Alligator mississippiensis: one gene and its partners. The protein of the gene in region 3 interacts with the protein of the main gene of each other region in a pairwise test. Links are inferred from orthologs where the notes say so. Each region holds a gene or a part of one and is shown on either strand. Other genes may lie near its edges. The genes, in order: TSPAN4, flavin-containing monooxygenase 3, CREB3 and MFSD5.

Evidence for each region.
Region 1: the proteins of CREB3 (region 3) and TSPAN4 interact in a two-hybrid assay, tested with the Homo sapiens proteins (2 studies listed by BioGRID and IntAct). The two-hybrid records come from large-scale screens. The link is inferred for Alligator mississippiensis from reciprocal best matches to the Homo sapiens genes CREB3 and TSPAN4.
Region 2: the proteins of CREB3 (region 3) and flavin-containing monooxygenase 3 interact in binary tests that used the Homo sapiens proteins (3 or more experiments, as listed by UniProt). The two-hybrid records come from large-scale screens. The link is inferred for Alligator mississippiensis from reciprocal best matches to the Homo sapiens genes CREB3 and FMO3.
Region 4: the proteins of CREB3 (region 3) and MFSD5 interact in a two-hybrid assay, tested with the Homo sapiens proteins (2 studies listed by BioGRID and IntAct). The two-hybrid records come from large-scale screens. The link is inferred for Alligator mississippiensis from reciprocal best matches to the Homo sapiens genes CREB3 and SLC61A1.

What each region holds. Positions count from the first base shown.
Region 1 is NC_081825.1:184,699,014-184,706,323, reverse strand, and holds the start of TSPAN4 (tetraspanin-4), read right to left. Parts: upstream 3,020-7,310; 5' UTR 2,330-3,019; coding exon 1,997-2,329; intron 1-1,996. UniProt on the Homo sapiens protein: Structural component of specialized membrane microdomains known as tetraspanin-enriched microdomains (TERMs), which act as platforms for receptor clustering and signaling.
Region 2 is NC_081828.1:45,459,574-45,466,587, forward strand, and holds the start of flavin-containing monooxygenase 3, read right to left. Parts: upstream 3,005-7,014; 5' UTR 2,908-3,004; coding exon 2,902-2,907; intron 2,539-2,901; coding exon 2,401-2,538; intron 1-2,400. UniProt on the Homo sapiens protein: Essential hepatic enzyme that catalyzes the oxygenation of a wide variety of nitrogen- and sulfur-containing compounds including drugs as well as dietary compounds.
Region 3 is NC_081826.1:303,315,002-303,321,849, forward strand, and holds the start of CREB3 (cyclic AMP-responsive element-binding protein 3), read right to left. Parts: upstream 3,007-6,848; 5' UTR 2,925-3,006; intron 2,603-2,924; coding exon 2,426-2,602; intron 2,327-2,425; coding exon 2,080-2,326; intron 1,935-2,079; coding exon 1,825-1,934; intron 1,657-1,824; coding exon 1,579-1,656; intron 1,080-1,578; coding exon 973-1,079; intron 482-972; coding exon 413-481; intron 209-412; coding exon 124-208; intron 1-123. UniProt on the Homo sapiens protein: Endoplasmic reticulum (ER)-bound sequence-specific transcription factor that directly binds DNA and activates transcription. Plays a role in the unfolded protein response (UPR), promoting cell survival versus ER stress-induced apoptotic cell death.
Region 4 is NC_081838.1:9,208,010-9,215,072, reverse strand, and holds MFSD5 (molybdate-anion transporter), read left to right. Parts: upstream 1-4,300; 5' UTR 4,301-4,702; coding exon 4,703-6,061; 3' UTR 6,062-6,550; downstream 6,551-7,063. Other genes in the region: nuclear receptor subfamily 1 group D member 1, read left to right, coding at 1-22, 208-686, 1,076-1,261, 1,749-1,959, 2,346-2,542. UniProt on the Homo sapiens protein: Mediates high-affinity intracellular uptake of the rare oligo-element molybdenum.

The DNA of each region.
Region 1 (7,310 bases), on a different chromosome or scaffold from region 3:
ACACGATCATCATCAATCATTCCTGCTGTGCACGAAGCATGTCAAAGGGAAACAAAGTAGAGACCGTGCTGCAGCACTTGACACCACCCGTTCCCTGTGCCTGCACTGTTATGATGCATATTTTCTTTCATTTTAACCAGCCCTTTCCCCCCAAATGCTTGGGACAAGCGTTCATGGTTTCAGTGGAAGAAAATCTCCCCCTCCAACCCTCACCCCTGCTACTGAAAAACTGTTACAGCTTTGCCACTGTGAAACACTCTGAGGAAATAGCCTGGCATCTTCCCATTGTAAATGCATGCACATTGCACGCAGCAATACATTTTTAAACATATGCATAAGCTTCGGTTCAGGCTGAATGGAATAAAAGGAAGCAGCATAGGGAGAACAGTCTTTGTGGCACCGCCAAACATAGTTTTTAAAAGGGCTATTTATGCCAGAACTCCATCGGATTTCTCTAGCACACCATTCAGATTGCCGACTGCTCCATAATCTTGGTCAGAGGCGGCTGATTGTCTAAGAGGAAGCAAAAGGCTTAAAAGAGCAAGAACCAGCATCCCTTTCTTTTTCAGGAAGCTTTGGAATAAGCTGGGATAAACATCAGGCGACTTATGGGACCCCAGCAGCATGTGAAAATCAGAGCTGGAAGACAAGCTGCAGTCCCATGGAGACACTTTCTATCAGCTTATCTGGGGCTTTAAAAGGCCCCCCTCCCTGTTTTTTTATATCCCTTCTTTGAACCAGGACACTCAGTGGATGCATATTAGTTTATTACATCCTGACCCCTTGGCATTGGGGTGTTACTCATACCAGTGGAACTTACCTACATGTAGTGCTTTCTGATGCACAAGACACTGCAGCATGCATGGCTTTAGCAGCTGTACTCTAGTGCTTAATACAAGGGGGAAAAATACTCTTTCAGTTTAGTGCACACATCCTTTTCTTTCACCTCTGGCAAGGCATGATAGCATAGAGAATCTGTAGTAAGCAAGCAAGGAATTTCAGCTACAATACACTCCCCCCTACCCCATGTCCTTTCTTGTACCAATATAGAGCTGCCAGGACACTCCCTTCTGCCTTAGCACACTGATGGTCCACATTGGGGGCAACACAAATGAAGTAACTGAAGACAGGCCCCTATTAAGAGAGCCTCCCACACTGGGAACTGCAGTGGGCTACCTTCAACAAGAACTCCCTTTCTCTACCATCTTACCAATCAAGTTATTTCATTTTAACATGGATCACAGCATTCAGGACCCTCACTGCAGAGAAATACCCACCTGCCTGCTTTTGCCAACTGCTTAATCTATTAAAATGACATAGAGATGCATGCAGATACGTCCTGTCCTGTGTGCCGTGGTGGCCCATGAGTACCTCCTATTCGGGTGAATTCAGGCCATGAAATAACCACCTCAAATAATTCAAACTAGGTGAGACAGGCACTGGATTTCAGTTTAGATATACAACTCTGAGAGGAAATACTTACACAGGGAGCCAGCAATGATGGGGAAGAAAAATTATCTGCAGATTCCTCATAACCAACTGAATAGTGTAAGATACTTAGCACATTGTCCTAAGTCTAGCAGAGCACTTCAGCACTTGCTTATTTTTAAGCACACAATAGTCCTACTGATTCCAATGAGACCATTCACATACTCAAAGTTAGGTGTAGATTGAACTAGTGAAGAATCAAGGCCATGCAGTGAACATACAACTTCCAGGTACCAAAGAACATCTATACAAGTGACCTTGCATACAGTGTATTTTGCCCTATATCAGGGTCTTACTGTTTGGGTTGTAGAACCACGCATATTATCTTGGCTCCATCTAAGCATAGCCAAAGGAGGACTGGCCTAGACCTCACTTACATGCGATTTTCAGCTGTTAGGAAGCGTAAAAGAAACAATAACCTTATAAAGCACCACAAACAACTTTACAAACCACCACAAACTTAATAAACACAAATGCAAACATCTTGTGGTTTGTAGCATGTACTCACCCAGAAGAGAAGGTTGAAGACAAACATTAGGTACTTGATGCACTGGAGACAGTTGTGAGCCATGCTGCACCTCTTCAGTTCTAGGAGAAAAATAAATGAGAGATCCAGGTAAAAGACAACGTACTTGTTTCCCTTGGGGGACGTGTACTTAGCCTTGGTGGCCTTAGGGCCTGGGTTGGTGTGGAATCCAAAAAATGAGTTGCTGGCAGCTCCAAACTGGCCACCGTACATGCTGCTGTAGCGACGGAAGGCGCCATTTGGAAAACTGTAATCCTTGCTGTCCAAAGAAGGGCTCCTGTGATAGGTCGATTCATCGGTGCTAGACCTGCGCATGGTGACTTCCGAGCGGTCCGTGGTTAGTAGTGATGCAGTAGTTGCTGAGTGTTGGCGGCGGGGGCGATAGGCTTATTAATTATTTTCCTCTTTCCTTATCCCCCTATTGCTTTGCAACAGCTGTTCTTTGGCCTGCCATTCTGTCAAGGAGTTAAGCGTGCAAGTTGGTGAACTGAAGTCTGCTTAGCCAGGAGTAAGGGAACAGCGTGCTTCCGCGTGAGAGAGATTTCTGAACAAGAAAACATTCCCTCCGGTGTCACACTTTCCCCCCCGGCCCGGCCCGCTACCAAAAACGAAAAAGAGAGAGAGAGACACTGTACCCAAAGCAACAAAATTTAGAAAAAAGTTGGATCTTGCATTTATCACAAATGCCATATAAAACCTTGGCTCCACATGCCACCCACTTGCATAGGGGACGCTGCACAGCTTTGTGGGCGAGAACAGAAATTATCCAAAAGGTGAACAGATCCCATGCCCCGTTGCTCTTAGCCACATTGCTCTGCCCTGAGATGCTCCGCTCACTTTAATGATCCCTGTTTCCTCTCACACAGACAGAGCCTATGGTAAGTGAGCCACGGAGCTTCATTCACAGTGCTGCTGACACTCCTCTGAGACTCCAGTCCAATCATGCTCTCTGCTAGTATACAGTCACAGCTCTGTGGTCCATCCCTGCATCTGAAGCGAGAGGCAGAGAGAATGAGCTTTCTTACTGTATCTCATGAATGCAGGCTCAGCACTCTCGCTGGCTCCTGCCCTCCCCCAGCCAATCAAAATTATCCTCAGACAATATTACTCTCTCACCCCCACCTTCTTTAAAATAAAACCTCCCCTTGGTTTCTTCTTAGCAAATCCAGCATGAGCTGCTTTTAACCAATCAGCGTGCAGGTGGAGGGACCACAGCATGTATTTTAGATTTCACCAGGTCCGTTCCCTTGGATAATTCTATTCTCCACCAGTCCAATATACACTGGAACATGGGGTGAGTTTTAATCATCCCAGCTGCTAGCAGCTCCTGAGATTTAGTTTTTAGCAAGGAGCAACTGAATTCAGATGTAGTCTGAAATGCAATCGGTCTTAAAAGGACTGAGTATGTCTATATGACAGACTGAAATATTCACACTCGTACAGGGAGTGTTGATCACATAGGACAATCAGAATTTTGACCAAAAAAATCATGCATCCTTTGCACATGTGTTTTGTAGGAAAGTCTGTCAAAAAGGCTAGCTCAACCTGTGTACTAAGTCTATCAAGGAGGGGGGCACTCTCCTGTTATATTGTTACACTACTCAGTGTAAAGTTCTGTCAGTTCATTTGCCTCTCTGCCAACATACCTGTCTCTGTCTTTGTCCTGTAGCCTGCTAGACTGACATGTGGGGGTATCACATTCTCAAACTGGCTGCTACCACACTGACATTTCAACCACCTTTTCACCAAGCAGTCTACAATCTCTCATGCAGTCAAACAGGGGTGGCCAAACTGTGTCAGGGATGCCGAAGTGGTATGGGCAGCCTCTGTGTGGCACTTGTCAAACCAGGGAGGGGGCAAACAGCGCAGTGTCAGACAAGACAGGGAGCACAAAACAGAGCAGCAGATTGGTCAGGGAGCAGAAAGCAGAACAGATGATCTGGCAGAAGGAGGGGATCAGAGTTATACTCAGAGAAAATGTGGGGTTAATTTGTGACATGCCTGCCACAAAATATCTAGTTGGGGATGGTCCTGCTTTGAGCAGGGAGGTGGACTAGATGACCTCCTAAGGTCCCTTCCATCCCTCATTTCCTATGATTTTTTTTTAGCCCCCATTGCAGTAGAACTTCTTCAGAAAGGGAGCCTGGGACTATGGTTACATGCATAGGCTGAGCCTCAGAAGAGCTAGGCTCAATTCCCTTCTCTGCTGTATGTTTCTTATATGACCTTGGACAAGTCTTTAGTCTTCCCCCTGTGCCTCACACCCCCATTTGTAAAATAGGAACATTATTATCTCCTTTCTCCCCTCCTTTAAATGTCATGTTAATTTGGATTGTAGGGTTGGGAGGCAGCAACTGTCACTGACTGTTTCCCTGGGGCAGGGTGAAGAGGTAGCTACTAGCTAGCTGGTGTTTTTAAATGGCTTGCTCAGGTAAAGAAACAATCAAGTTGAAACCAGGTCTCTCATAAGAGCCATCACAGCGGCACCAACACAAATCAACACAGACACAGACATCAATTAATTAGAGAGCAAATTAGAGAAAGTGAGATGTGGTGGTTTCACATGGTTCATTCTCGCAAACCATCCTCTCACTCAGTTCATTTATAAACTGCTATGCTAGAGTCTAATGGTTCTCATTCATCTTCTCTCCAGGATAAGAATTCACCAGACACAGGCTGTTAGCATCTTTTTTTTATGGAAAAAATTTTGTGTCCGAAGTCAAATCAGCCAAATCAATTCCAAATCTGTGTGAATCATTCAAGAACCATATGAGACCCTGCTACCAGCAAGTATCCTCCACCCCCGCCTGGAGCTTCAGATACTTCCAAATCCTTTGGCAGGTGTTCTATGTGCAAGCCCAAACCTAGAGGCTTGGGGTTCAGATGCCCTGAGTTTTACATGCCCTCAGCCGTATGCCTGAAGCAAACTAGGGAGGAGTCTCCTTTTTTCTTTTTTTTTAAAGGAAAATTTTTCATCTTCCAAGCCAAATCAATTCCAAATCCGTGAGTCATTCAAGAACCATATGTGGCCCTGCTACCAGCAGACATCCTCCACCCCTGCCTGGGGCTTCAGATGCTTCTAAATCCTTTGGCAAGTATCCTATATGCAGGTCCAATCCTAGAGACTTGGGGTTCAGATGCCCCTGAGTTTCAATTTGCCCTCAGCCATATGGCCACAGAAGGAGTCTTCCATTTCCATAAAGCGGGTGTAAAGCCAAGACCTTCCCACTGGAAGAGAAAGTGGGAGGTCAACTATACATTACCTTGGACAAGGTCCTACCCCCACCAAGAAAGTGGTTTTCCCCTGCAAGTAGGAAAACTGCCTTAATGGTCATGATGTTCCCCCTGGTCATGATGAAATATCTTCCCCACAGTGGGTTAGTGCAGCCTGTCTCCCCCCCCCCCCCCCTTTTTTTTTTTTTTGCAGCCTATCTCCCATTAGGAAGAAAAACTATGCACTCCCAGATTCTAAGTGTGGCTCTGATCCCACTTGCCTCTGAGCCTTGGGTGAGCTACAACTCACCCATCCCTCAGTTTCCTCATTCTGTTTAAAGAGGCATTTTTCACAAGGTGGGCTCTTACAATCCACACCTGCTATCTGCTCCCTCCCTTTTCTCTGATGTACAAACCCAGTCCCAAAAATAAAGTCCTTGTCTTCCAGGGTACAAGCACTGTCCCAAACAAACAGAATTCCTGGGCTTCTGATTCACCCTTTACTTTTCCTGTGACTGTCACTTCCCCGCTCTGATTCCTCCCTGTGCCTGGGAAATAGAGGCATATGAGTTCCCACCTAATCTATCATAGACTCCCTGAACAGCCTTGCCTTAAAGCATCTTTTTGGCTAAAAGCAGATGTCAGCTTTATCTCCAGTATGATTGTCTGGGGCTTTCACTCCATCAAAATGGGTGTAGGACAGTCACTTACATGCTTGAAAGGCAATTAACTCCACTTAGACCAGATAGTCCAGAAGGGGGGCAGAGAGACAGTTTTCTTTGTACTTCACAGGTACTTAAAAGTAGAACAATGGGCTCTTCCCTCTGTAGGATTCTAGAGTAGAAGGTTTTGTCCCTGGAGAAATTTGGTGGTTTTAGCCTTTATGTCTAGTAAAATGAGGGTAACAACACTACCAGTTAGGGGTACTGTGAGATTAAACTCATTGATGCCTTCAAAATACTCAATATGAAATATAAATTTTCATTTCTACCTAGGAGAACTTTTACAATCTTTGCAATCTCCTATGCCTGGTGAAGGGTGCCTGTGCCCAAAAGCTTGCAGATAAAGCCATTTTTTTTGCAAATATCTAGTTGGTCTAATAAAAGGTATCACCTTTGTCACTAGTTTTGATTCAAAACACTCAGATACTGCAGGCTATATCTCTGCAGAGAAAGAACTGGTGAAATGAAATAATAGAGTAGTATTACTAAATGGATAACCAGCAGGACATTTCTCGGGTGCCAACATAATTCCTTTGTATCTTCAGGATGTATAATCTGTGTGGGTGGTGAATCATGTTTGTAAAACACCCTTTGTGAGCATATAAAAATGCCCATGCCCATGAGCATACATTAATTGGTGGACAATGTTGCACATAGACAATGTTGAAATAGTGTCAGTTGACCACTTGGTATTAACTGTGGTGCTCTACAGTGTTGCTGAAGTAAAACAGAGGCCAATTCAGCATTTCCATTGTAAATCCTGTTCCTGAGGGTCCTACAACTAATCCATATTTGCCGGCATCCAGATGAAGGAAGAGGCAGAAGCACCAGATCTGATGCTCTCTTAAGGTAGCAAATCATCAATTCCCACTGAAAATAAGCAGTGAATTCTCAGTTTTCTTTTGCCTTACTTCCTCTTTTTCATTTCAACCACCTGCACTGAAGATCATAAGGAACCAGAAGTAACCTGACAGTTGAGAGGATGGAAGTGCAAAATTATTTAAACTTGCTAGAAACTCAGTCCTCAATGCAAAGGGTAGATTTATTTATAAAGTGAAGCAGAAGAAAGGAATGCCTTAAAGTGGCTCCAGAATGAATAATAAACAACAATGTGTAGTGTCTACCTTTCAGACAACAGGATATCTATACTGGGAGAGGGAAGAAGAGAGGCAGAGGCCTTTCAACACCTCACCTGTGGTATATATCTTGTAGTAATGCCAATTCCCTAATGGGCATCTTTTAGCAAGGAGCTTCATAGTAAATCTCTCTTTCATATCTATGAAGAGCTAATTTGTGATATATAATAATTTGAGCTGCTGGTAAGATTCACCCTCAAAATCCACCTCTTTTAAAATCATCAA
Region 2 (7,014 bases), on a different chromosome or scaffold from region 3:
CCTGGACATCTCTCATTCAAGCATTCCCTGGCAGTGCATGATGCAGGCAGTGTGACCTCTGTGAAACTAGACAGGGGCCTTGGTCCTATTCTAAGCATCTGTTCCATAAAAGAACCATGCTTAGAGATGGTATTAACATGTTTTTGTGGTCACTATGGAAGCTAAAGCTGGAATAGCCACAGAAAGTGAATCCCCCCTAGGCCTCCTTGAGGTAGTCTCTGCAAACCAGTACCGGGATATGTTACAAGGGTGGTATGAAGAAAGCAGCAGCTGCCACCAGTGCCACTACCCCACCACCTTTGCTGTAGCAGTTCAACAGAGAAAGGACTTCATTTTCCTGCCAATTCAATGTCCTTCAGATTTAGTTCTAAATTTAAGAAGAACTAAGTTGATGACTGCCACTTTTTTACTATGGTCTTCTGTACTGGGGGGAGATCACATATGACAATGGACTGCAGGCTCTGAAAGGCAATGTAAGGTGCTCCCTCCTCTTGGTTTATACAGGTGGTATTGTAGACAAAGGCACCCATGTTTCAGACCTGGCCTTACAAGGCCATCCAGTCCCTGGGGAAGGCTTCCATTTCCTTTATGGACTCCATGGTTTGTGCTTGCCTTTGGCTGTTTCCTATAATTTCTCTTTGACAGTTACAGCTGGGTGACTCACAGCCCTGTGCTCTCTGTCCTGGGGTGGTAGTTTCTATCAGTCTGAGGTCCACTACTGGATGAGAAAAGAGAATGGGTGGGGTAGCTGAGTGGTATGTGCATAAGATCACTGTCCCCTGACTTTGGCCTGATGAAGAACCCTCAGAAAAAGAACTAATGCCCCAGCTTGTATTAACATCTCTGCAGTGCTTCCCCTGGGGAACTGGGATCTGCAGCTGTGCAGGTTAGTGCAATGGAACCCCATTACCAGGAAATACAGAGGGATGAAGAGCACCAGTAGGCTTCGTGCATAGGTCCCCAGGGCCTTTCCATGGGGGTAGAAGGAGAAGGAGGCAAACACCAGTTTCCAACAGAACAATATGGGGGCGTATAATATGGAGAACTTCTAGGACTGCTCTCAGACATCTCTTTCAAAAGCCTTCTTCCAATGGTTTTAATGCAGACTGGGGTGATTTGGCCATGAGATCAACCCATCTTCATAGCAGTGCACAAACTTGAACCTTTCCTCACCTCAGTTATTGCTCTATTTTATAAATAGGGAACTTGAAATACAGACCCAGAGATGGGCACATGAATCTCTAGCCAGTGTTAAAACAGAACTGCAACTTACACTGGGCCTTTACGCAGTCCACTATCCCACATCAGTTCTAAATATTTCATCCCAAACATAATGGAAATAAGATTTTACTGTTTTAATAAAATAAGATAATCAATTATAAGAAACTTTCTGTTTTGGAGTAACAAACAACTCCATTAATAGTCTTTATTGTGCCTCTGCTGTTATAAGGAACTCTTTTAAAAAAGGCAGACAGATTTTTGTTATAAACCCCAAAATGGAAAACATATGGAACCAAGCTTTTTAACAGCTTTTCAGTTTTTCAGTTTTCTGAGGAAACTGAAATAAAATGATTTGAGGCTAAATTCAAGCAATTTTTTTCCCTCCAATTATTCGTGTCAGTCAGTAAACTAATAGTTCATCTATTGTCAAATCCCTAATTCATAGTATTTTTCTAACCTGAATTGGAGCCTAGCAAACATGCCCTGATAATGGCTGAATGAATAACCACTGTCATGCTGAAATCCCTGACACTGCCTGCCAAAGCAAACTTGTAATATGGTCTGTTAAGCTGGCTCAGGCTGCACCTCCTTCTTGTCCCCAAATTACTCCTTTACCCTCACTCTGAAATATGTGAAGCTGAAACAAGGTGTTTTTGTTAAGGCATTCAGTTAACTATAATTATTAATGGTGGAAAGCACAATAAAACCCATCCCAGTGACTTACTTTCCTGGCTGCAATAAGAAGGTGCCGGGGGGGGGGGGAGAGGGGGAGGGGGGTTGCACTGCAGAGTGTGATTAACATGAATCAACTTTTACAAGATCTGAAGACCTAAATTTCAGAGCACTCACAGTTCTGAAACTGTAGACGTTCAGTTCCTTTCCATATAAGCCCTTGAGCGTCTGTAACCCATTTGGGCAAGTATTAGCACAGATAACATCATCCTTGATCAATGCCACAAAATGGCATGGTGCTCTTCATTAGGTAATCTCTTGTAAAGATATTATAGGCCCCTGGGCTGAAAGAGCCAAGCAGTCTGTACACCTCATGGAAAGCAATGCAATAATATACAAATACAGGGCCAAGCACACTGGAGGAAAGAGGAGGAAGCTGGAATGTTACTAGACAGACAGCCTTCAGCAATGTGTGTCTTGTCATTACCAAACAAACTCCCCACTTACTGTGAAATTCCAGAGTCCTCCAATGTCATCACTTCTCTCAAAGCAGATGGGATCAAGTCCTTCCTCCAGGCAACACTTAAGGGATGCCAGTCCACTGACACCAGCTCCAATAATTGCCACTTTTTTTAACATGGTCTCCTGTATTGGGGGTGGGGGGGAGAAACATATATGATCAGCTTATGGAATAGGAAAGAATCAGACACACTATCAGCAGAACGGCTAAGAGCTCTGTTGGGAAAAATCAGGGCACCTTTCTGGACAGGTATATTGCACATGCACTCTCTCTCGCTCTCTCTCTCTAAGTAGTTGTAGCTTGTTCTGATTATTACTAATGCTCAGTAAAACAGATTCAGGTCCAATAAGCTAAAGAAATGGGACTGATAGCCAAGACCTGCTGGAGAGTTTTGCTTTTCTCAGCTATTCTTCCTATTTCTCTGGCTCAGGTCAGCAGCTTTCCTTACATTTTCTTCCTCGAAGCCCCTTCCTCCTTCCCCCACTTACATGCATTTCTTTTCTTCTCCAAGCAGCTCCCTGAGTTTCAGGCAGGCAGGACTAAGGCTGTTCCTGATATCTGTTAGTCTTTGAGGCAAGAAATTGAATGGAGGGAGGAGCTTATCTTAAATGGCAAATCCCCTTTAGGGACTTGTTAGACAGTAATTTTTGGGTAGCTCCTGGAGCTCTTAACCCCTGAATTATCCATACATTACACCACTTTAAAGTATGTGGCTCGAAGTTAAGACACTCCAGGGCAGGATTATCTCTGATCCATACTACCCAGCTCTTGTTCTATTAAAGTGTGGCTACTTCCCACAGTTGTGTCACTAGCTGTGTAACAGCATCCAGACCATTTCACAACCACTGGTAAGCAGTCTCTCTAATTGTTAAGGAAACATTCTCTTGTGGAGTTCTTGATGGTCCTACATTTGAGTAACCAGCAGGAGACACCTGAATGCAAATTAAAATGACTGGAGGACACCCAAGTTTCCCCAAATTGCCGCTTCTTAGCAGTGGGGTCAAACTTTTCCCCCCTTCCCATGAAGAACTGTGTCACAAGGAGAGGCAAACCGGGGAAACTCCCAAGCCCAAGAGGGGAACCCTAGGGCCAGCAGTGGGGGGAGGAGCAAGAAAAATGAAAGTAAAAAAAGAAAAATTACTTACAGCAGGACTCGACGAAAAACAAGGACAATGGGGGAAGCTTGCGCGGATTATTAGCTGTGCCTTTATTCAGCTGCGGCCGATGAATGACGTCAGCCCCAATCATCAGCTGGTGGAAATAAGAGGGCCGGCAGTGAGAGAGGAAGGGGGCGCGTGGACGCCAAGGGAGAGTCCAACCAGTGGAGTCAGCTGGGGGCGTGGGACGCCGGGAGTATCGACAGTCACCGGCTGTGGAGGAGCAGACGACCCAGGCAGCGAGCCAGAGCCCGGAATAGGAGTCCCAGCGACAGGCAAGGCAGGAGGCGAGTCGGTAAAAGGGATCAAGGTGCGGGGAGAAGAACGGCGCTGGGAAGACCCAGAGAGAGGGCAGCCGCGCTGGGAAGACCCAGAGAGAGGGCAGATGCATCTCGAAGACCCAGAGAGAGGGCAACTATACTGGAGGTCTCAGAGAGGGGTCAGCAATATTGAGAGGACCCAGAGAGAGGGTCACAATAGCGGGAAGTTGGAGGGAGAACGGCTCTAACCTGGGCAGGGGGGGAGCTGAGCCACGAAGCTAGGGCACCTTGAGGAGGCCCTGTGGGCGAATTGATATGCGGAAGGGCTATCTGTGTTCCGCAAGGAAGCCCAGAAGTGTGGTGATTTTCTTAGGATTCATTAAGTCTTTTTCTTTGACTAGAGAAGGGTATTTTATGTTTCCCCATGTCGGAAGGGGCTGAGGTCGAGTGGAAGCAGGAAAAGTGGGAAGGCTAGCGGAGGGCTCGTTGTTTGGGGAGTGATCATGGAGCACAAGGTTGGCCACAAAAGCGACCAGGATCTGCCGGGCTGGGTATAGGGTGAGGTATAGGGGAGGTGGAGCCTCGCGGAAGACCCCAAAGGAGCAGGCGTCTAACGAGGGCAACCGTGTTGCACGAAGCCCCCCACTGTAAGAGATTCAAAGTCGTGGCAGGTTAGAAAGGGGCAGCTTGCAGCACGTGTAAAGACCTCCTGTAAGACCACCTGCAACGGCAAAGCAAGTCTCGTTGAACGCTCGAACTAAGGAAGCCCGGAACAAGATGTTCGAGGCCTAGCGGGTGCAAACTGTATTAGAGCTTTTCCTATGCTGTCATGGGAAAAGCCTTGGGATATGCAGGTTGCCTTTGGGTAATACTTTTACCTTCTGTAAGCAGATTTATCCTCTTGAAGTCTTCTTCCTGACTGCACTTCTGCATATCCGCTTGACTTTCTTTTTCCATCTGGTTTCTATCTGGCCCGAGCAAATGTTTTTCTATTTTTTAAATGTCCTATGCAATTACCTCTCAGATGTCTAACATTGGTTATTGCCTTTGCTTTCCATAGGTGTAAAACTTGAAAAGCTGGAGGGGGGAAAAGGAAGGAAAAGAACTTTTTACACATCAGTCCTATTATTTTAGCACTGGCTGATGTTTCTGACCTGGTGTGCATTAGAATTCTGTAGAATCTGAGCAGGATCTATAATGGTTCCCTGTACAGCCTAGAACCCCATTAATTTGTCTGGTACATTTACAATCCCCAGCATATACAGAGAATCATAACTGTGATTTATATTAGGGCATTGTGTATAATATTCTCACTTCCATATTATAAATGTTTACTAGGCCTGTGCGAAGTGGCTAGTATTCGTTTTGGATTTGGATTCGGCTGATTCGAGGGATAGCGATCGGATTTGGTGATTTGAATCACTGTCCCGAATTGATTTGGCCAAATCAGCTGGGCAGTGACTGCCCTGCCCACCTGAGCTCCCGGCACTTGGGGGGGAAAACAAAGCCCCGACTCAGCAGGTGCTGCCGGGCAGGGGGGAGATCCCTGCTGCCCCCCACTGCCCCCTGATCCATTGCCCCAGTCCTCCCCCATGGCTGCCTCACTGGCCCCAGCTCTGGCCTTTTAAGAAAAAAACAAAACAAAAACCTCCAGACTCTCTGTTCCTGCAGGTGGTGGGGGGGGGGGGCGATCCCCGCTGCCCCCTGCTGCATTGGGGGCTCTGCATGAGCCCCCAGAAGCCCCAAGGCTGCTGCAGGAGTGGTGAGTCCCAAGGCTTTTCTTTGAGGGTTTTTTTTTCCCTTGAAGGGCCAGAGCTGCATCAGGCAGGGCAGCCATGGCGGGGCTGGGGAAGCAGAGGTCAGGGGGCTCATGCAGAGCCTCCCATACAGTGTGGGGCAGTGGGGATCACCCCCCCTACCCGGCAGCACCCAGTGAGCACCAGGGTTTTTCTTGAAAGGGCCGGGAACTAGGGCGGGTGGGGAACCTGTGGGGGGCTGGGGGAGCAGGCAGGGGATGGGGGCTCCCCCCATGGTCCCCTCCCCCCTTCCCCAGCCCACCTTCCTCCACCCCTAGTACTTACCAGCTCAGAGTTGGCTGCAGCTGGGAGCTGCTCGAATCATCAAAGCTGCACTGGGGACTGCTCGAAATATCAAAGCTCTTCGAATCTTTTCCAAAGATTCGGAGAGTTCTGAATTGATTTGGACCTTTTAATTGGTCTCCTGATTATTCAGATTTGGAGATGCAGCCACCGAATTGGGCCAGATCTCCTCTGAATTGAATCACCACCTGAAGCTTTGCACAGCCCTAATGTTTTACCTTATTCCACAAGGTACCAGAAGAACACAGGAAGGTCATGGTAAGAAGAGTGTGTGGGTAAATGTTTTGCAGTTGGCCAGACAGCAAATTATATACAGAGACCTGCTCCCCTTCCAAACTCCTGAATGGCCACAGGCTAATTCTAGGTTTGCCCCTGTCACCCCCCTCCCAAAAAATAAAGTTTCTCATGTAGCAATTCAATGAGGCAATTGCTGACTTGCAAGTGTTGATGGACGGATTTATTCCTGTTCTAAGTAATGTTTATGAGGAGCGTGCTCCATGTGGAACACATTAAGTAGACAGCATAAAGCACCGCTGGCATGTTAGTTCTAAGGGGGAAGGTAGCCACTGCCACAGTTCAGCGGGGGAACTGCTTTCTCCCTCTGATACTTTCCTTACATGGTGTGTGCTTTTTCCAGGGGACCATGTCTCTGAATGCTTAATGCACTATTGCAGCAAATGAAGATTGATCCTGATGGCTGCCCCACTTTGCTTTGAAGTGCCCCAAGCCAACCTGCTACCATTTGGTGTGCTAAGGTTTGCTGCTCGCCATCAGTGCTGCAGTGCTGTTTGCCAGCATGGCCTGGGTGCAGAGGGAATTAGTACCAGCAGGGATTTAACCACTTTGGGACCCAGAGGCTTTGACTCTGTCTGCTCTATAGGCACCCAGCTGACTGGGGCTGTGCTGCTTCTGAACCTCTCTGAGATGCCCTGACACTACCCTGTTCCTAAACAATCCAACTCAGTTTAGATGCCTACAACCCACCAGTTCTATCATAGAGTAGGAGGCAAGAGCCTGTATCACTAAGCATTCACAGCCTGCCTGCCACTGATTAGCAGGTGGTAACGTGTATCCTGGATTTACCA
Region 3 (6,848 bases):
GGCCCAAGGCTGGGGACCGAACGCTGCTGGGAGCCCTGCGCCCCTGCAGGAGAGAGTGTGTGGGCTGGCAGAGGCTCCCGCGGCACAGGGGACAGGCCCTGGCCTGGCTGTTGGGCCACTCACCGCGATACAGGTACTGGCTGTGGTAGTCTTGGTTGAGGACTGTCGCACCAGGGCCTGGAGCTTCCGCAGCTGCTCCAGCAACGACCTGCAGCAGAGCAGGAAACGGGGTGAGCACAGCCGCAGCCCCGGGCCAGGCCAGCCTCCTCCCATCCCCCCTGGTCCCGTAGTTCCAGCGTGCCTGGCAAACAGGCTCGGACTGTTCTGCACCAGTCGCTGGTGCTGCCCTGCAGGGGCTCAGGACCACAGAGGGCCCCGCTGCCCTTGCCAGGTGCTCACGTTGGGGACTCACATGTTCTGCTTCTGCAGCAGCTGCACCTTCTTCTGCAGCTCGTGGTTCTGCACCGTGCAGGCTACCACCCTTCCGGCAGGCAGGGGACACAAGACAGCACATCAGCCAGACCAGACTTGGGGGCTCAGCTCAGCGCCTGGGGGCTGACGGCGCAGGGCAGGAGGGCCCGGCTCCTTGCACATGACTCGGCCCTCCTAGCACTGGGCTCCCAAGGTCTTACGGGGGCAGGGCCCTTGTGCTAGGCACCTGGGAGGAGCCCCCAGCTGACGAGGCAGGGCAGGGCTCCATGGGACGTGAGCAGAAGAGGCGGAGGCTCCCAGAGGAAGAGGGCCTGGCTCTCCACAGCAGGGGCTGGGCCCTCAGCCACAGGAGCAAGAGCTCCAGCTGCCCCGCAGGGGCAGCATGGCAGCTGGGCGAGGCTGTGGGGCTAACAGGACCTCCTATGGAACTGCTCCCCGTGCCCCAGGTCATGGATACAGCCCCTACTACAGGCGCTGTGGCAGGGGGACATGCCCACATCACTGATGCGTGGCTCCCTCCGCCCACGCCGGGCTTGGTACCTGCTCTCCAGCCCATCCACATAGATCTTTTTGCGCCGGCGGCTGTCCTGGGCCGACTGCTTGTTCCGGATCTTGCGACGCACCCTCTTCAGCAGCCGCTCCTCAGCCTGCAACAGTCACTGCTGTCACTGGCCGTGCCCCCGGCACCAAGGCAGGCAGCGAGGCTGGACCCTGGGCCGTGCAGCCACTAGCCCGCGGCCAGCAGGTACCTTGCACAGGCAGGGAGGCGGACAGGGCAGAGCCGCTAGCCCTGGCCCCCGGGACAAGGCTGGCTGCACACAGGCCTGGCAGTTTAACGGGCCGGGCAGCTTCCATCCTTCCGCTGCCCGCTCCCTGCATGAGCGCAGCGAGGCCCCTCGTGACAAGGTGACGCCTTGGCTGCCAGGAGGGCGAGGGGCAGTGGCTGCAGGTCCAGCACAGCAGCCGGCTGGGGGCAGCCACAGGAGTGGGGCCAGCAGCAGTGGGGGCCTGGCCCCCTGCCCCTTCCAGCCACCGAGGCTGAGCCACGTGCCACGGCCCCGGGGACTGGGGCTGCTGCTCAGCACTTGTGCCCACACCTGAACCCCTGCCTGGGGAGGGGTGCGGTGCCAGCGGGCAAGGGCTCACCTTGGTGAGGGGCAGGTGGGACGGCAGTGTGACGCCATCTTTCTCCAGCAGCTGCCTCTCCTCCTCCGTCAGGTCCAGCTGGAGACGAGCAAACCCCAGGGTAAGGAAGGAAGCGCCAGGCGGGGCGGGCGCCGGGAACCAGGACTGTCCCCGCGCAGGAGCCTCCGCTAGTCCGCGGTACCCGACAGGCCTCCCCGCGGGCACCTGCCGGCCCGTCTGCAGGACTCCTGGGAGCAGGGGCTGTACCTGCGTGGGGGTCCCAGGCACGACGTCCTCCACGGCCACGGCCACGGGGAAGCTCAAGCTCTGCTCGCTGCCCGAGGTCTCCTCCGCGCTCTCCAGCCCGGCCCACGCGTCTGGGAGAGGAGGGAAGGGGTCAGACGACCCCCGCCCCACGGAGCCGCAGCCTCCCCCACCAGCTCCTGGGCCCGGGGGCTCGGGGCAGCCCCGGCCGCAGCCTCCTGCCCCTCGCGGCTCGGCGCGGGGCCGGCCCGTGCGCACCCAGGTCGATGAAGACGTCGCCGTCGGCGGGTCCCGCGGGCGCATGCTGCAGCCACAGCCCGTCCCGCAGCAGGGAGTAGTTGTGCTCGAACTGGACGCTGTCGGGGCCGGGGGGGCTGCCGGGGGACGCGGCCCGGCTGTCGGGGCTGTGCGGGGGCTGCTGCGCGGGGGCCGAGCAGCCCGGGCCCTCCGCGAAGGGGCTCAGCAGGGCGCTGAGGAAAGCGTCCACGTCCTCGTCTCCCGGGAGCTGCAGACCCCAGCGTCAGCGTGGCGGGCGGGCGGGGTAGGGGTAGGGGTAGGGGTAGGGGTAGGGGCCGCCCCGCCCCGCCCCGGGGCCCAGCCTCACCTCGGGCTCCAGCAGGCCCCAGGCGCCGGGGTCGGCCGGCAGCTCCGCGCCCTCCGCCAGCAGAAAGTCCAGCAGGTCCCGGTCCGCGTCCGCGACCCCGACCCCGTCCCCGACCCCGACCCCGTCCGCCAGCGCCAGCGGCGCCCGCTCCGCCGCCGCCGCCACCGACACCGACATCTGCGCGCGCACCCGTCAGCGGGGCCGGCCACGTCCGGGGGGGGAGGGGGGGCGGGGCCGGCCCGAGGGGGAGGGGGGGACCTGGCCCGGGCGGGGGGGGCCCAAGGGGGAGGGAGAGGGGCCCAGCCACGGAAGGAGGGGGGCCCGAGCGGGGCGGGCCCGGGGGGGGGGGTCCCGGGCGGGGCGGGGCGGGGCGGGACCTGGCGCTGCCGCCTGCCCGCGGCCCGGACGCCGGGGATCCTGTCTGGGGGGGGCACCTGGGTCCCCGCCCGGGGGGTGCACGCGCCTGGGCTCCCGGCCCCGCCCGCCCGCCCGCCGGTACCTCCGCCGACCCCGGCTCCGCAGCTGCCGCCGCCTCCTTCCAACACACCAGGAATGACGTCAGCGCCCGCGGCTCCCAGCACCCACCGCGCGGCCCCACGAGGGGCCGGAGCCGCCTCGAGCCTCCATTGGCCGCGGCGCTGCCCGCACCCAAGATGGCGCCCGATTGGCCTCACCCCGCCCGGCGCCCTCACTGCGCCGGCACCATCGAGCGCAGGGCCCAGAGTGGCCGTGGGGCGGGAAGCTGAGAGTGCCGCTCTGTACCTGCCCTGTGCTGCTCCCAGCCCCGCGTCCGCCCCGCAGCGCCGCGCAGCCCGCGGGCCAGGTACGGGGGGGGGAGGGGGCAGATGTGCGTGCCCGCGGAGCGGGGGGGCAGATGTGTGTGCTTAGATGCGTGTCCCCAGATGTGGGCGGCCAGAGCGCGCGCCGCAGGGGTCTCCTGCTTAGGCGGGCGCCCGGGGTGGGCGTGCGGAGGGGTGCCCCTAAGAGGTGTGCGCGGCAGGGCGCCCCGCGATGTGCGGGGCGGGGGGCGCTGGGCGTGCGGGCCCCCAGGCCCGGGCCGCCCCGCGCTGCGCAGCCCTCCCTGGGGTCCCCGTGCGCGGCGCCCGGCTGTGCCGGTGCCCTGCCCGGCCCTGCCCGGCCCCTTGCCGTGCCGCCGTGTCAGCCGGGCCGGGCCGGGGCGGGGTGGGGCCCGCTGCCTCTTGGCAGGAAGCGCAGCTCGCGGCCGCCTGCGGCTCCTGCTCGCTCCGCGCCCGCCCGCCCGCCGCTTCCTTCCTCCGCCCCGCGCGCAGGCCCTGGTGGCGCCCGCCCGCCCGCCCGCCCGCCCGCCGGCTCCGGCTCCGGGCCCGGGGCACGGTTTTGTGCGACAGGTTTGTGTGCGGGGCGGGGCGGGGCGGTGGCAGCAGATGCAGGCCGGCCCGGGCGGGAGGACACGGCGGAGCCCAGGCCTGGTGCGGTGCGGTGCGGGTGGGGGGAGGCGGCGCGCGCGGGAGCCCCGGGCCGGGCCCCAGGGCGGGTGCGGGAGGGGCCGCACTTGGTGCTGGATCCCGCAGCTGCCGTTGGGGGGCGGCGGGGGGGCAGGAAGCCGTGCCAACGCCCGTCCCGGGTGTGAGGCATCCTGACTCGCGGCTGAGCCATGGTTTGGCGGCGCCGCGGGGGGCCTGCTGCCCCCTCCCCCGCGGGGCGCGTGTAAGGAGCGTGGCGCACGTGGGCCGGGGCCGGGGGTGTTGCGGTGCTCGGCTGGGCCGCCCTGGCGTTGTTGGCACCTGGGGCTTTGCCCCCTGCTCTGCCCCCTTCCCTGAGACGAGACGGCCTGTCTGGGCCGTGGCTGGGGGCGGGGGTCCCTGCCGTGGAGCCCAGCTGGCTGTGGCCCGGGGGGCCGAGCCGTGCAGTGTCTGGCTTAGCGGGTGATGAATGGACGTGGCCGCGGGGCCTGGCAGCGCGGAGCTGGGCGCTTTCCATTTTTAGTCAGTTGTGTCCTGCAGCTCTTGCTGCAGGGTTCCTGGCTCCCGCCCGCTCCCTGTGCCAGCCCCAGGTCCGCAGCGCTGTGCTGTGTAAGGCTTCCCGGTCCCATGCAGCTGCTGGGCTGTGAAACCACCAGCGTTTCCTGGTCCCTGCCCCAGGGAAGGGATCTCCTCGCTGCGGGAGGTCTGCTGCTTGCCCTCCTGGCATCCTCCCGGCTCTGTGGCCCTGACCTGATGAGACCTGATGACTCTTCGCCTTCACGCCTTCCCCTGAGCTCTGTTGCCTCGTGGGGCTGGGGGTCCTGGCAGTACCTGTCCTGGGGGTGCCTCTCCCCTGCCCCAGTTGCGGGTTCACCCCATGCCCACATTTCCTGAGAGCTGGAGTGTTTCTTTGAAGGCAGCTGCCGGGCTGTCCCCAGCACGTGCTGGGGCCCGGGGACTTCTGAAGGGGATAGGTCGCAGGGGCTGCCTGTCTGTGGGCAGAGGGGGAAGCTGCCTGGGAGGGAGGTGGGCCTGTGCTCCAGGCTGAAGGACAGGCAGATGCGTTGGTCTGTGGGCAGCGGCTTCGGGCCCCGACATGCCCTGCAGAGCGTGGCGGGGCCTTTATCTCGAAGCCCTTCCTGTGACAGCGAGGCGCCAGGTGAGGCGATTGATAGCTTCTCTCAGATGAAGGGCTGGGGGTGCATTTCCACGTGAGGGGTCTGGACAGGTATGTGAGCCTGTTTCTGACTGCTCCTGCCTGGAGAACGGCTGGCCGGACTCAAGGCAGCAGGTTTGCTCACGGTTGCTCCTCTGTATGGGGGCACGGTCAGGTGGGCCAGCCGCCGTCGCCTTGACTAGAGCCACGTCCCGGCTGCGCCCCTCTAGGCACAAGACCCTCTCTTGTATGTTGGCACGGCTGCCCCGCTCCGCTGCGGCTGGGCTTTCGGAGGGGCGCCATCCGCCAGTCCCTTGGCATGCTGTTTGGCTCTTGTTGGCGCTGGCGCCTGTGCAGACATGAGCTGTATCTCCATGGGCAGGAGAGCACGTGGGACTGCTTTGAGCTCTGCGGGGCAGCGCGGGGGCAACGGTGCTGTGCCACCAGAGCTTTGCCTTGCAGGGCTACAGGGCAACTGAGGCAACTGCTGTGGAGCCATCAGCAGTCCTGTCAGCTGAGGCAAGTGCTGCCCCTGCATGAGTGCTGAGCCCGCCTGTGCCCCCCAGCGGGGGTGAGGTTGCGCTCCCCTTCGCCACGTGTCAGGTAGAGTAGCGCCTGAAGTGTCATGCTGCGCATCGTGATGTCTGCCTCGGGCTTGCTGTCCTGCTGCTTGTGCAGGGCAGGAGGCAATGCCATCGCACCAGCTTGGCAGCGTCGGATGCCTCCTGCCCCTCGTGCCCAGCTTTCAGGCCCTCCAGCAGAGGCTGGGGTTGCTTTCGCTTGCCCACGCTTCGTGATGGGGCCTTGGTGGTCCTGGCCTGGAGTTAATTTTAATCTTCTCCTCTACAACGGGGCTTGGCACAAAGTGACCTGGTGCCTCCAAGTGAAGGCTGTGAGGACTGTGTGGCTGAAGAAAATTGTGCAAGGCAAGGGCCTGGAAGCAGGGAGCATTGGCCCTCATGGGCAGGGGCTTTCCCGCTGGCCTGGGGAGGGCAGCTTGGCTCAGGTACATGGGGCAAATCCCATGGGGAGGAGACGGTGTCACCAGTGATCCTGTCCCAGGTGGGGAGACTCCGTTCTGTTAGTGACGGTGGCGCCTGGTAGGGTCCAGACTGGCTGCCTCAGGCACACATGCTGGTCTCCAGCTGGGGAGTGGTGCCGCTGCGGACCGCATTTGACCAGAGCAGGAGGGGCTGCTGTCCTGCAAAGCCCTGGGCCTCCCGGCGGATGGGCAGTAAGCCTGACCCTGTGGGCAGCTTTTGCTCTTGGTTGGGCTGGGGTTGGGTTTCCTGCGCTCAGTGCTGATGAAGTGGCCTGTGTGGGACTGGAGGCTGCTCCGTGCTGGTCCTGGCAAGGCTGTGGCCTGCCGGGGCTGCCTGGGTCACGTGCTGCTGAGCTCCCTCCCCAGGTCAGAAATGCTACCCTGGGAAACAGGAAGGAGCGAGTCCCGTGTTGGAAGCAGCTCCGTGTCTCGTGCCTGGGGTCCGGGGACAGCTCGGCCAGAGACCTCTGTGGTCTCGGTGCCCCACTACGTGCTCGGGAGCCGGCCAGCGCAGAGGGGCAAGGAGGAGGTGAGGGGCCAGGACTGCCATGCCTGCAGGGAGCCTCGTCAGGCCAGACCACCCCAGTAGCCATCTGAGCCCCTGGTGCTTGCCCCTTTTGGGGTCTGACACACCATGCCATATGAGCCATTTGTAGCTGCCAACTCGGCAGGAGGGACGTTCCCAGCCAGTGCCCTGACGCCATGAGAGGTATTAATAACCACTTGTCGTGGTGAGCCAGTTCCAACCTGGCCAAGTTCCCACTGGGTCTCAGTGGGAGCCGA
Region 4 (7,063 bases), on a different chromosome or scaffold from region 3:
GCCGTCGGCATGTCCCGCGACGGTGAGTACCCCCCAGCCTGGCCGGGCACTTTGGGACGGGAGGTGAGAGGGTCTGGGGGGGTGGGTTAAGCAGCTCCCACTCCACCGCAGCCTTGCAGGGCTGTCCTGGGCGCCTGTGGGGCCCCCTCTGCACCCTTCCCTGCCAGGGGCTTGTTGCACCCCACTCATCCTCGATGCCCTCCACAGCCGTGCGCTTTGGGCGCATCCCCAAGCGGGAGAAGCAGCGCCTGCTGGATGAGATGCAGAGCTACATGAGCAGCCTGGGTGAGGCGCCCCTGGACGCGGGGCTGGCGCCCGAGGGCGAGGCGCCACCCAGCCCCGTGGCCCAGGAGGAGGAGGCCATCGGCGCCATCTCCCGCGCCTACCACGACATCTTCGGCAGCGGGCAGGACCGGGCAGGCGGGCCTGGCCCCCCACCTGGCTACGCCGACCTCTCGCCCGGCTACGGCTACGGGCAGCACGACCCTGCCAGCCTGCGTCTCCCTGGGTACGACCCCGCCAGCTACCCCGACAACACCTCCCAGCGCTATGGCCACGACCTCTACGGTGCCCAGCAGCCCGGCTACCTGCCCAGCCCCGGGAGCTACCCCGCCTTCGAGTACGGCTACGCTGAGGGCAGCCCCCCGCGTACCTGCCCATGGCGGGGGGCAGCCAGCAGAGGCATCGTAAGTACGGGGCTGGCCCCAGCTGGGAGGAATGGGGGAGCCCAGCACAGGGCCCTTGCCCGGGGGGATGTAGGGCAGGCACAGCTGGGCATCTGGGGGGAAAATGAGGCACAGAGAGGCCAGCAGTGGCATCCGGGCCATGCACTGGAGTCAGAGCTGGGAATAGAGCCCAGGAGTCTGGGCTCCCAGACCACCCTCCTTAGACCCAAGCACTCTCCCAGAGCTGGAAATACAACCCAGGAGCTACAACCCTGCAGCTCCCTGCAGCCCTGGACAAACCAGTCACCGTGGGGGGCAGGGGGCTGGGCAGAGCAGGATGGACCCTGGGGGGGTTGGGAGCCAGGCACCCCAGTGTGGTGGAGCTGACTCTGCCCCGCCATGCTGCCCAGGCCTGCCCACTCAATGCCAGCCCCTGCTGCAGCCCGGGCACCAGCCGGCAGCAGGCGTGGGAGGAGTTCTCACGCTGCTTCACGCCCGCTGTCAAGGAGGTGGTGGAGTTCGCCAAGAGCATCCCCGGCTTCCAGGGTCTCTGTCAGCAGGATCAGGTCATGCTGCTCAAGGCCGGCACCTTCCAGGTGTGTGTGTCTGTGTTTGTGTGTGTTAATGCACTGCCCCTTGCAGGGGGGATCCAGCTCTGTGTGCGCGCACACATGTGTGTGTGCATGTTGCCCTGCTGGAGGGAGCCAGCCCTGCTTTGTGCATGCGTGTGCACATGTGTGTGTATGCATGCATTGCCCCATGCTGGAGGGATCTGGCCCTGTTCTCTGTGTGTGCAAGCACATGTGTTTGTGTGCATGCATGTGCATGTCTGTGCATGCATGTTCATGTGCATGTGTGTGCAGGGGTCCAGTTCTGTATGTATTTGCACTCCTCCATACCTCGTGTTGTGGGTGTCTTCACCTCCCCCTGCGCAAACGGGTTTCCTAAGCCTTGCTGCCTGCTCCCAGCCGCCGTCTGAACTTCTGGGGCCACGTGGCTTAGCTCCAGTGCTGCCCGCGGGGGCGCTCCCTGCACTGTGCCAGGCTGGGCAGGGCAGGGCACACTGACCGGGGTTCCCCGCAGGTGCTGATGGTGCGCTTTGCGGCGCTCTTCGACCCCAAGGAGAAGGCGGTGACGTTCCTGAGTGGGGAGACGCACGCATTGGGCGGGCTTCGGGCCATGGGGATGGGTGCCCTGCTCGATGCCATGTTTGACTTCAGCGAGAAGCTGGGCACCCTGGGGCTCGACGCCCAGGAGATGGCACTCTTCATGGCCGTCGTGCTCGTCTCCGCAGGTGGGCGAGCGCTTCGGGGGGAGTGGGGGGATCCTGCTCTCCACCCCTGGGCAAGAAGAAGGCTTGGTTACAGGTCACAGCTCAGCCTGGGGGTATCCGGGCAGCCAAAGCCTGGCCCCTTCCAGCCCGGGCGGGGTTTGTCCCAGGGCTTTCACAAATAAGCATTGCCCAGCTAAGGTTGGGGGCTTCCAGACATGCGAGAGAGGGGCGGGGGTTTCACAGGTCTGCATTATAAGTCCTGTTCCTCCCTTCCCTCCCCCGGAGAGTTTGGTCCCTGTGTTGGGAGAGGCCACATGTGTCATACACCTCGTACGGCTGCCTCCTTGCTCAGGGGATCCCCCTGGGACCGGGCAGGGTGTTACCAGGCAGCTCTGCCTGCTCCACAGACCGCTCGGGCATCTCAGACGTGGAGGCTGTGGAGATCCTGCAGGAGACCCTGATCCGGGCGCTGCGGACGCTGGTCACCAAGAAGCACCCCGACGACTCCACCCTCTTCCCCAAGCTGCTGCTGCGCCTGCCTGACCTGCGGACCCTCAACAACCAGCACTCGGAGAAGCTCCTCGCCTTCCGCATCGACCCCTGAGCCAGAGCTGGAGCCAACGTCGCTCGCGGACTGGGCGGAGGGAAGGGGGTGGCCGGTGCTGCTGGGCAAGCCCCGTGGAGCCAGGCTCTGCTTGCCTCAAGCCCCAGCCGGGCCCCACCGCCCGGCATGGTGGCCTGGACTGATCCCCGCCGTGGCACACTGTGCACGGCACTGTACATATGCCCTACTTTCCTCTGGCAGCACGTGCAAACGTGCATGTGCAAGCCTCTCTATTGCCCCGAGGCTCGCGCCTGTATATATCCAGCCTGCCTGCGTTGTACATGCCAAGTAGGTCCCAGGGGACAGATGCCCCCCAGCTGCATGCTGTGTTCCCCCATGTCTCCCCTCCCCGCCCCTTCCCAGCCCAGGCTCGCTCCTGCAGGGGTCCTGGGGGCTGCATTTGCTTCCAGCTGTGGGGAAGAGCCATGCCAAGAGGCTGTCCCACAGCTCCTTCACTCCCATCTCCCTGTTCCCCCCCACCTGCTGTGTTTGGTCTTGGATTTTTTAACATCTCAAGCAAAAACAGGGCTTCCACTGATGCCCGGCACAGCTGAGCCCGCGTCTCTGTGGCTCGCAGGGGGCTCAGCAGCCTGTGGGGAGGGGTCCTGGTTCTCCGAGGGGGGGCAGCTTGCTGGCTGACCTCCCTGGGGCCCTCCCTTTGCCCACGCAGGTCCCACCTTGGGCCACGGGGCTTTCTGAAGATGGACTCTTCCCTGCTGAAGAAGCTGTGTGGCCCACATTGAACACAGGAGATTTGCCTCCAACTCTTCCCGGTCTCCCTGACCTCCTGTTCCTCTAACCACTAGACTCGATTCCCCTTCCGGGCGGGGGGCAGTCACTGGGCTGGGGTCCAAGCACAGGGCAATGCCTGCCCCCCATCACATCCCCATACATATCAGGTCGGTGCGGGGATAGGGGGGGGACAGATACGCCCAGCCCACCCCATGCATGGCGCGAGTGGGGGGTGCTCTCTGCAGGAGCGTGGAACTGCTGCTGCTGCTTTGTTCGGTCGTCGGAAGAAAAAAGCCCCCAAACTTTGCACTTTTATGAGGAATGATGCACAGCGAATCCTCCCCCGCCCCCTCGGAGTCGGGCCGGGGGCGGCCGGACGCCGTGGACAGAGAGCGTTTATTTTTTCTCGAATATCAAAGTGCAATAAACTGAAGGAAAACAGAGCTGAGCGTGGCAGCGTGGCCCAGGCGTGGCTGTCCTGGGACCGGGGCAGGGTTGATGGGGGGGTGTAATCCTGCACCCTGAGCCCCCAGCGTCAGGAGCCAGGGGAGCTGGGTAGAAGCCGGTCCAACGCAGGAGCCGGGAGTGGGCCGGGCCACCTGCCCTGCCGGGTCTGGGAGTGCCACACCGTGGGAGCTGCGCCGTGGCTCGTGGCCCCCGCTGACGGCTGCCCTGCGGCGCTCCTCGGCTGTGCCCACGCTGCCCTGTGCCCACACCATTGCTGTGCTGCGCCCATGCCAGGGCCACGCTTGCCCACGGCCACACTCGGCTCATGCCAGGGTCATGCTCCCCCTGCAGGGATGCCGGTTGCCATAGCAATGCAAAGATGGCATGGGGGGGGCAGTGGGTCTTTTCTTAATGACAGCCAAGGGGGGGCATAGAGGAAAAGTGGGAGTCAAAAGTGACAAAGGTAAAAGGTCACAGCGTGGGGGGGGCATGGGTCACATGACACCGCCCAACATGGCGGCGCCCAGGAGAGGCAACGCAGAAATGGGGAGCATCACGTGACACCGCCCACAAGAGGCAGCATGGAAGTGAGGATCACGTGATGGCGCCCGGGCGAGGGAACGCGGAAATGGAGGATCACGTGCCCTGAGAGGCAACGCGGAAGCGGGCGGGTTAATCACGTGACACCGCCCAACATGGCGGCGCCCAGGAGAGGCAACGCGGAAGCGGAAGTGGGGGCGGGCGCGGGGCCGCGACGCCGGCAGCCCGAGTGTCCCGGGCGGGAGGTGAGGAGCCGGGGCCGAGCCAGAGCCCGTGTCCCGGCGGCCCCAGTGGTTCCTGGGGACGGGCCTGAGGTGAAGCCTTCGGACAGGGCCGCGCAGCTGGCTGTCCCGAGTCCCCCACCCGTCTGGCAGCGTGTCCCTCTCTGGCCCCAGGAGCCGCGGAGCAGAGCCCGGGCAGCGCAGGATGCTCTGAGGCACCATGTTCTTCACGGCGTACGTGGCCTTCGTGGTCCTGCTGGCGATATGCCTGGGCTTGGAGTTCTCCGCTTGCCGCTCCAGGCTCACGGGCAGCGCCTGCACCAACCCAGCCTTCCTGCGCTTCCAGCTGGACTACTACCAGGTGTACTTCCTGGCGCTGGCAGCCGACTGGCTGCAGGGCCCCTACCTCTACAAGCTGTACCAGCACTACCACTTCCTGGAGGGGCAGATCGCCATCATCTACGTGTGTGGCTTTGCCTCTAGCGTCCTGTTTGGGCTGGTCTCCACCTCCCTGGTGGACTGGCTGGGCCGCAAGAAATCCTGCATCCTCTTCTCCCTGACCTACTCCATCTGCTGCCTCACCAAGCTGTCATGGGATTACTTCGTGCTGGTGGTGGGGAGGATCCTGGGCGGCCTGTCCACGGCCCTGCTGTTCTCCGCCTTCGAGGCGTGGTACGTCCACGAGCACTTGGAGCGGCACGACTTCCCTGCTGAGTGGATCCCCGCCACCTTCGCCAGAGCCGCCTTCTGGAACAACGTCATCGCCGTCGGGGCCGGTGTGGCGGCCAACCTCTTTGCCGAGTGGGCGGGGCTGGGCCCGGTGGCGCCCTTCATGGTGTCCATCCCTTTCCTTGCGCTGGTCGGCATCTTCGCCATGAAGAACTGGGAGGAGAACTACGGTAAGAAGCGGGCACTTTCCAAGACCTGCACGGACGGCCTGAAGTGCCTCCTCTCGGACCGGCGCGTCCTGCTGCTGGGCATCATCCAGGCCTTGTTCGAAAGCGTCATCTACATCTTCATCTTCCTCTGGACACCTGTGCTGGACCCCCATGGGCCTCCGCTGGGCATCGTCTTCTCCAGCTTCATGGCTGCCAGCATGGTGGGCTCGTCACTGTACCGCATCGCCACCTCCAAGCGGTACCACCTACAGCCCATGCACATCCTCTCCCTCTCCGTCCTCATGGTCTTCTTCTCCCTCTTCATGCTGACGTTCTCCACCAACCCAGGGCAGGAGAATCCCTCTGAGTCCTTCCTAGCCTTCCTGCTTATCGAGCTCTCCTGTGGGCTCTACTTCCCGGCCATGGGCTTCCTCCGCCGGAAGGTGATCCCCGAAAAGGACCAAGCGGGTGTCCTGAACTGGTTCCGGGTGCCCTTGAACCTGCTGGCCTGCCTGGGCATGCTCATCCTGCACGACAGTGACTACAAGACGGGCACCCGGAACATGTTCACCATCTGCTCCGTCATGATGGTCATGGCACTGCTGGCTGTCGTCAGCCTTTTCACCGTGGTGCGGAACAACGCTGAGCTGCAGGTGCCGCCTTTGCAGGGACACACAGAGCCGTCATCCCCAGAGCTCTGAGCAGGGGTTGCAGCCACCTGGCATGACAGAACAACCCTTGCCAGCTAGCATGGTCCCAGAGGGCAGTGGGATGCCTGTGATCCTCCTGTAGAGGGCAGGGCTCTGTAGGATACTGGGCTGCTGAGGAGAAATGAGCTCTGAGGCCTGGGCTGCAGCATTGGACTCATGTATTCTGACTCTTTTGGGGAACTTGCTGTCCTGACGTGGTGCGGCACCCCTGGGTTCTCCTCTTGCCCCCAGTGCTCCCAATTCTCTCCTTCCCCTCCTCTACCTCTTTTCTCAAGCTGCCAATGTCAGTGGTGCTGGGGAAGGGCCTGCCTGTGGCAGGCAACACACTGGTGGCAGGGCCCAGCCACCTGGTTCCCAGCATTTGCCGGCAGGGGGATTGTCTGTGTATTAAAGTATTGACCCCCTGTCACTGCAGAAGCCAAGGGTCCCCCTCCACTCTGGTTATTATTTTTTAAGAAAAATAAAACTGCTTCCACAGAATGGTTTTTGAGCCCGCGAGGTTTCTTTCTGGGCTCGGGCTGTGGACGGGTCAGGATCCAAGCAAGAAAGAACCAGCCCCACGTTGCTGCGTCTGCAGAGCGTGGGGAGGCAAAGGTGGCAGAGGCTGAGCGGTTCTTGCAGGACACCTTGCAGTGCTGCCCTGGCTTCTCCCCATGCTCAGAGGAGCTGTGGTGCTGGAGGCCATCCCAGGGTGATTGGGCATGCAACTGCTGGAGGGGGCAGGGGCAGGCAGCCCAGTATGGACTGGGGAACCTGGTGTACTCGCAACCTCATGTACGTCTCCTAGAGGCAGGGGCTGTTGGAGAGGCTGAGGCCTGGGACCACCCAGCAGGTCATTGCCCAGAAGTGTGTCTGGTCTCACCCTCCTCCCCCATCCTCTTCCCAGGTTTTCTCCTTCCCTCTTTCCCACTCTTTTCCTTCTGTTTTCCTGGGGAAGCACTGGCTGCCAATCCCTGTCCTGGGTCCTCTCCAGCTGCAGGGGGTGCGTGGGAG